2 linked regions of the Mytilus edulis genome follow. The protein of the gene in region 2 interacts with the protein of the main gene of each other region in a biochemical or structural test. Links are inferred from orthologs where the notes say so. Each region holds a gene or a part of one and is shown on either strand. Other genes may lie near its edges. The genes, in order: mitotic spindle assembly checkpoint protein MAD2A-like and DNA polymerase zeta catalytic subunit-like.

The links.
Region 1: the proteins of DNA polymerase zeta catalytic subunit-like (region 2) and mitotic spindle assembly checkpoint protein MAD2A-like form a complex in vitro, tested with the Homo sapiens proteins (2 studies listed by BioGRID). The link is inferred for Mytilus edulis from reciprocal best matches to the Homo sapiens genes REV3L and MAD2L1.

Annotation. Positions count from the first base shown.
Region 1 is NC_092352.1:71,758,957-71,762,894, forward strand, and holds the start of mitotic spindle assembly checkpoint protein MAD2A-like, read right to left. Parts: upstream 2,430-3,938; 5' UTR 2,381-2,429; coding exon 2,311-2,380; intron 1-2,310. UniProt on the Homo sapiens protein: Component of the spindle-assembly checkpoint that prevents the onset of anaphase until all chromosomes are properly aligned at the metaphase plate.
Region 2 is NC_092353.1:64,606,941-64,610,878, reverse strand, and holds the start of DNA polymerase zeta catalytic subunit-like, read left to right. Parts: upstream 1-1,619; 5' UTR 1,620-1,726; intron 1,727-3,938. UniProt on the Homo sapiens protein: Catalytic subunit of the DNA polymerase zeta complex, an error-prone polymerase specialized in translesion DNA synthesis (TLS). Lacks an intrinsic 3'-5' exonuclease activity and thus has no proofreading function.

The sequences.
Region 1 (3,938 bases), on a different chromosome or scaffold from region 2:
AGTTTACGCTTGGACACAGGTCCAGTAACCCATGCTTATAAAATTTAATTTATTTGGGGCTGTAAGAATTTCTACATTTTACTACAGGCCAATAAACCTTTTCTACATTTTACTACAACCCAATAAACCTAATACAAAATTTGCCTCAAAATGAGTCACATAAGAAGTATACGCCTCGTTGACATGTTCATTTAATTCAAATGAATTTGATACGTAACTGCGTTCATACATTCTCCTTTAAATTATAATTCCAATTGATTCGAATTGGTTGAATCGCATTATCCAATTCGCATTAGAAATGCGTTTTTGTTAATACGAATTAAAAGTTAACGTCATTCAGGCAGTAAAGTGAATTTTGACCCCCATTGCAATTCGAATTTAGATTTGGACGTAAAACGATTTGAATGCGTATCAAACTAATGGGAATTAGTTAATGCGAATCAAATTCAAATTATGTGTGAATGCAGCATTACAATGAAGAATACATGTATAATGACTACACATTAAATCTACCAATACATGCCTTGTTGCCATAAAAGTTTAATGTACATTATGTAAGGCTAGGACTATTGTAATCCAAATCAGAATTCAAATAAAGAAAATACAATGAACAAAATTATTTCTTTTCCTTTCAACAAACATGACAAAATTATTTTTGTATCTGTGTACATGAACTTGATGTACTTTATTTTATTTTAACAGCATTTTGTTTAACATGAGTCACAGTCAAAGGTTAAAGTTTTCTTTCTGATTTTGTTTCACATCTCACCCCACTATTTATTTTATTAATTTTATTACATTGTGTCATAGATCAAATTTATCCATTCAGTGTACTGTGCATTCTTTTATTTTCGAAAGTATCAATTTTCGTGGATTTACGAAAAAATTGCATATTTGTGGAAATATGATTTTGTGTTTTTTCCAATCAACATCTTCCATTTAAAAGTGCACCAGTGTCTGTTACATATCTAAATGGGTTGTAATAAAATAATTAAAATTCCAGAAACCTTTACAGAATGTTGGGGGGATTTGTTTGTGAAATATTTAACAATAAAAAATAACTTTAAAAAGTTTGAGTTATTATTTGCCCATTATCAGATAAAATAATGTTGCATTGATGCAACAAATTTGATGGACTTGCACTATCGTAATTTTTAAGGTTGTATTTGAAGTCTACAACTGTCTGTAACCTATTGGATTACGACTATTCACTATTATAGTATATTTCTTCACACGTCAAATAATCAATAATGGTGCTTTTTAATCACTGGATGATAATAATTGTCATTTTTTTTTAATTTGAAAATTGATCATTTCAAAACAAGTTCTGTCAGCAGTTTTGACGTTAGCAATTTTTATCAAAAACACATGAAAATAAAGTTTTTGTGTACGGGGATAAACTGTCCACTGTACAGAAGGATTTATTTGGTCCGCTTTACACCATACACGCTTCTTATCTGAATAAAATATTTAAAATAACATATGTAAGAAAGATGTCAATGCCAATTATTGAAACAGGTATACTTATTACGCACATGACAGTGGCCTCCTATCAAAAAAAGAGTTTCAATGAATACAGAATCAAATCGGGCGAGACTAACCCCAACTGCTCTGACAAGTATTTGAAGTACACATTAATATTATGTAAACGAAACAAAAGATTTTTCTTACTGTGTCAGGTCAAAATTGATCACGCGCGTACCAATGATACACAGTGGATGAAAAGGTCAAGATAAGTAAGTCACAATTTTGAATTTTCTTGTTTAATGGATAAAACAAATTCTCCTATTTGGATACCAAAAACTAAAACGCATGACAACTCATGAATGGGTTTTCCAGTGGACGAGTCTATATGTACATTTTTAACATTTTTCTGAACAATGGGCCGTCAAACAAATGAGCTGTCATATGTCATACTATGATGTGTAACCTTTTAAGACATTGTAATATTTTGGATAATTATCATGATTATTTAGACTACAGTGTTTGAATAATTTCGCCACCAGAAATTGTTTTTACTCAAAATAATTGTGTGAGTGTGACTGTGTGGTGTGAATTCTGACCTTTTGTTTTTGACGTGATGACCTTCATAGAGGGTGCATGTGTATTTTTATACGATAAATGATTATCGAACTACCCAATGGCATTGCATTTAAACTTCATACAGTCATACTTCAATAATAATAATTTAACTTGGCATGCGTTCTGAAAAAAAAAGGGGCTGGGGTTAAACACATTAGTTCCTGAAAGTTCAAAGATAGACATTGTGTAAAAACAATGCAAATTGTTGTTATTAAAAGAAACATTTACAAAAGAACTCGGAAACTATTTCTGTCGATCCTTTCAATGTGATTGCATTTTGTGTAGCTGTTGCGGCCATGATTTGTGTATATTTCTATTTCCCGCTAAATTTATGTATACAATTCTGCTCGGTGACGGGATCAGTTTTGATCGAATTTCCGTACTCAAAAAGTTGTACATGTAGGTTTTGAAATGTTTGACTAAACCAGGGACTTTCTATACTAGTATAGAAAGTCCCTGACTAAACCCTCCACTTCACAGATACCCTCTTTTGACGTATAGTTTTTATTATTTCGCTTTTTTAAAGTTTGATTTTTTTAAATTTTAATTATGATTTTAAAATAAAAAACGGGTGAAAAGACCTGCGAAGTGAAGGCCGGTCACAGTTTAGTCAAACATTACAAATCCGTGATGAAACTTTAAAAGTACAAAACTTGACGTTAATTTTTTATTACTTCGCTTTTGATTTTTTTGATTTTTGATTATGATTTTCAGGGGCGGATCCAGGATTTTGGAAAGGGGGCCGAAGTTTTGAAAGATGGCCGAACGGAGCGAGGCGAAAAATTTTTGGGACCTTTTTGGGGCTAAAAACATAAAATAAGTGTAATAAGTACTTTTCAAACGGTTACTGGCGTGTAACTTCACAGATTTCTTGTTGTAAACAAGATATACGCCGGGGTATTCAATGAAATTTACAATACGGCCGGTACAAGTTAAAAAAGACAAACAAGCAATTTCTTATCCAAAGTTTGGTTAATATGTTTCACCCAACAAAATTAAGGGAAGTGAGGGGTTCCAAATCAACCAAAGGCTAAGAATGAGTCTGAAATGACAACGAATTTATGAATGACGGTCGACAAATGGAGACATAAAGGCCACACCCATCAGGCAGGTTGCAGTCTGATCTTGAAAAAAGTATTTAATATATCAGTTCGGCGAAACAGACATTCCGTTCAGACATGCAAACCCCTGCCCCCAAAGAAATGCCCGTTTTTATTCATCATGTTCATTTAATGCTAAATAATTCTGTTGGAAATTTTTTATTTTTTTTTAGCAAAAACAGTGGACATGATTATTGTTGTCAATCCAGATACAGCCAGAATTTTTGTTCAAGGCAAAAATCAGAGTTATTTTTTTTCTACACAAATATCTTAGACTGTCTCCTCAAATCAAATGGTTCGTACCTTAGACTTTGAATATAGACTATCTAGAGCTTACACTGACTGGGGATCATTATTCAGCTATGGTATTTTAAAATTGGCTGGGGCGTTTTGGGTTAAACATGTTTCCGTAGGTAAATAATATTGCCTTGGAACTTTTTTTCATGTGAGTGTAAATGTCTCTAGATTGTTTGGTGGAATAGTGAAATAGAATTAGAAGTTAATACGTTCTTGCTCAATCCTGTGTCGCTTTGAAGGTGTCATGATTGTCATCCACAGCCTAAGCAATGTGTTACTGTAATTTGAATTTCAAAATGACTAATCGACGTTTTTTTTTCGACACACTGTTCAACTCCACCATAGAGAATTACATGACTCTGACAATCAGTAAATTCCAGCGATAAATATCTTTATAAGTAAAGAATGGTCGCATAAAAATTAAATACTACAGTACACGGGAAATGACAAAGTTCACGA
Region 2 (3,938 bases):
ATCCAATACAGTGATGGAAGATCCAGTTCATCATCTTTGGTTGAAATTTCAAAGGAACATAGAACAGACCTATGATTATCCAGGAATTCCTCCTTTGGTAAGTGTCGTGAGGGTATATGTTGGGTTTCCAAGTGAATTGTCAATACCTAATTCGTTTATCAAGCAGTTGTAGCAGACAGAGTTATTAGTTAATTTTTAGCTCCCTTTGGTAAAACTCTAAATTTCATATTTGATGTATTTCATTGTTAATTAATTTACATGAAGCTTATTAAGGATATATTTGTTAAATTAAATAGCTTTTTCTATTTTAATTCATTGGTTAAAGATATTTATTTATATTATAAAGTTTAATATTTGCATCGTTGCAAATTCTTTGGTTACCTTCTGTAAGAAATTTATATATTTTATATAAAAAGTTTTAGATTCTTCATTTGAACTCTGGGATGATTGACATTTAGTTGAACCATGGACATTCCAACCAAGATTCATGAGGATAGTGCATTTGCTACATGCCTATAGTACGGGTTAATTTGAAGTGTTTAATGCTCCATTTCTACACGTTTGGCTTTACATAATAAAAGTTGTACTTTGTTGAATAAATTATATATTGTTTTCAGTTTTTGGTTTTCATTTACTTAGATATATTATAGCGCATCACTTTTGGCATCAGTCGTTTTCCGCACACATCAGTTTACAAACTAGAATTAGCTGTGGTCCGCATACCCGAATCTTAGGCAAAATTGTTCCTGCTACACAGTTAATGTACAATGTAATGAGTTTTACACACAAAAACGATGTTGTTTGGGGCTTTATCTGCGGGGACAACAACATATTTGTCGTGAAGGTGTTAAGTGTTTTGCAACATTAGGGTCTCTAAAGATTGACGTAGCATGGGCATTGATTGAACCATTCAGTTTCTTAATTCTGATTTGTATCAACGACCTCACTGCCTTAATCCATTCGGAAAGAGTGTCTACGTCTTCCTTCTCACGCTTATCCCATTGCCTGGCATAGTTCTCGACTGAATCCATCAAAATTTTAAAATTGTATTTCCAATTGATGGATTTCGACTCACGATATTTTGGACCTTTCGTTAACACATTTTGTAGGGAAGTGTTATTAACAATGTTAAAACATGCATAACACAGCTCACATTCTCATATATCTACATTCATAAATTTATAAATGTCATTTCGACTAAACGACGCCATGTAATTGTTTGTTTTGTGCCTCTCCCGTCTAAACCACCTATTTAAAAAGAAGAGGTGGAAATAGAACCAGAAGATCTTCCCAATGAAAAAAAAAACAAAAAAAGAATGTCTTCTGGTTCATTACTGAAGAACAAAAGAACACGCCCCTGTTAATTGTAAATGGGAACGTCTAAACACCGCTCAGGCCGACCTCCTGGGTGCACCCAGGACCCTGTATAGTCATCGTATCTGCACACAGGATGGATGTATATATATTCGTTATACGCTTCTTATTTTCGAGTTAATTTTTGGTAGAATTTGAAATCGAACTTAGATAGAAATAATGAGGACACATGTCACTGATTACACAACCATTGACAACTACTGATCACTACTGAGCCGGGTTTCATACCGAAGTCCGGGTCCGGAGTCCGGTCCGGTCCGGTCCGGGTTTCAGTACGTACCACAAGTTTTCACATTGACACGGATAGACACGAGATGGCGCTGCATATAACAATCACAATCAGCATTCGATGGTCAGTAATCTCATAAATTAAACAACACACAAATCATTTCCAGAAGCATGCATCATTTTTCATACTATTGTTTATTTATTTGAATAGAATGCAGACCGTCACACCAAGACATATGCACGGTACTGTTAATCCGTGACATATGTACTTATGCCTGCTTTGTGGATTTTTCAGAAAGCTTTGACACTGGTATCAAGTTTATAAATTTACCATCTGCGGGAGTAGGTACTTCATTATAAAAATAACACATAGCTGAGGGGGGTGATAGAGCTGATTGGTAGCCCGAGAGGTACCTCGAGAAAGCATTGTCAACCGTGGCAAAGCCAATGTTGACTGCTTTTTCGAAGGGTACCAAACTGCTCTATCACCACAGGAATCAGAAGTTCTATCAATAAAATTCTGTAAATAATAGGAGAAGCTCTATTTATAGTCGACTTTACAGAATTTAATTGATAGAACTACGAGAAGCTCTATTGATAGTCGATTTTATTATTTAAAGAATTTTATTGATAGAACTTCCGATTCCTGAATCCTGTGCTATCACACTCTCAGCTCTGTGTTTATTTACATGTAATTTATTATACTGAATGTCCTATCATTATTGTCTTTTACAGATGAACTTTTTAAAAGTATTTTCTATGACATGACACATAACAACTTACACGTATTAGAAGTGAAGCAAGATGTTTTATTTTTTTATTTTGACAGTCAAATGATGCAGCTTAACGCTATTCCCGGGTGACCCTAGAATCTGTCCTACTTGAAGTATTGACATCACAAAACAATAACTTTTCCATTGTGGCATCATTTGTTTTGTATTATGACGTCACATTTTTACGGGAACCTTTGAGATATCCAGTAATGGCTGAGAAATAGCAATAAGGTGTATAGAATCTGAGCCAAAACGTAGAAATTACTCATTGTCTTTAATAACTTGATGTAAATTCAATTCATTCTTCTTTAAAATGTAAATTTTTGATTGGTCTGGATGAGAGGGTGACATTAAAAAATATTGTCACCAGCTCAGTCATATACTTGATAGAGTAATTTAACACCCTCGTATTAGCCAATCAAAATATGGCATTAAAGTGAGGTATAATAATTTATAATTATTAAACACATGTATATTTTGTATCAATCAAGTAAATCTTGTGTTAAGAATTAATCCAGACAAGAGTTAAATGTAAACAAGGGGACAATTTAGTCTAATCTGTAATATTCAAGTAAATTATGTTCATTGGGATTGCCAACCTTGGAAAGAATATAGTAGGGATAGAAATGATATGATACAAGTGTTGCATGGTAACTGGATGATTTGAAGTCTGCGTTAAATGTTGACAATTGGAACCCGAATAAATGTTTATGTTAATGTCAACTGCACACACCTAAATAAGTTTTTTTTATAAGTATAATATATATAAATATATTATTATGAGACTATTATGCCATAAGAAATTGCATTACGACAATCCAAGAAGAGGGGTTAGTAGAAGCCATTGGCTTATTTAAGTAAACGGAGATCCCGAGATAAAGATATAATATATATAAAGTATAAATGACTTGCCAGAGTATTTACAAAAAAGTGGAGACCCTGTGAATTGCTTATTATACACAGACGATTTTGTCCTTAAGGTTCATGTAGGGTATAAACTTTTTTTTTTTTAACAAAGGATTTCTCTACTTTTTTCTAAAAATAAACTTAATCCTATACTTAATAGAAAAGTACAATAAAAATGTGGGGTTACGTTTAATCATGTAAGCCCACAATCTGCCTTCAAAAGAAGTATGCAGTTTTGTCAAGGTACTTTTTTTCTGTTGAACTAATTGGAGCAGAAAACATGGATAAGGTAAAAAAGATCTATATTACAAAAATTGCTAAAATTTTACAATTATAATTTAGTTTTAGTACAGCTTATATGAAGAAAAAAAAAAATAGGTCACCATTGAGTTGAGAAAGATTTTCAATATTAATGCAAAAAAAGGCATTATTTCACCAAAGGGAGATAATTTGGAGCTTTTTCAATGATATAAACATTTTAAAAATCATCTGGGGCCAAAATGAATTGATTTTTTTGGTTGATTTAAATGATTTTTGTACCATATCATAATATAAATTTACAACTAATACTGTAATAAGTTAAATTTGAAATAAAAAAAATATGTTTAAATTTTTGCTGAATTTTTGTACCCTGGAGCCTCTGTAAAAAGTAAAATC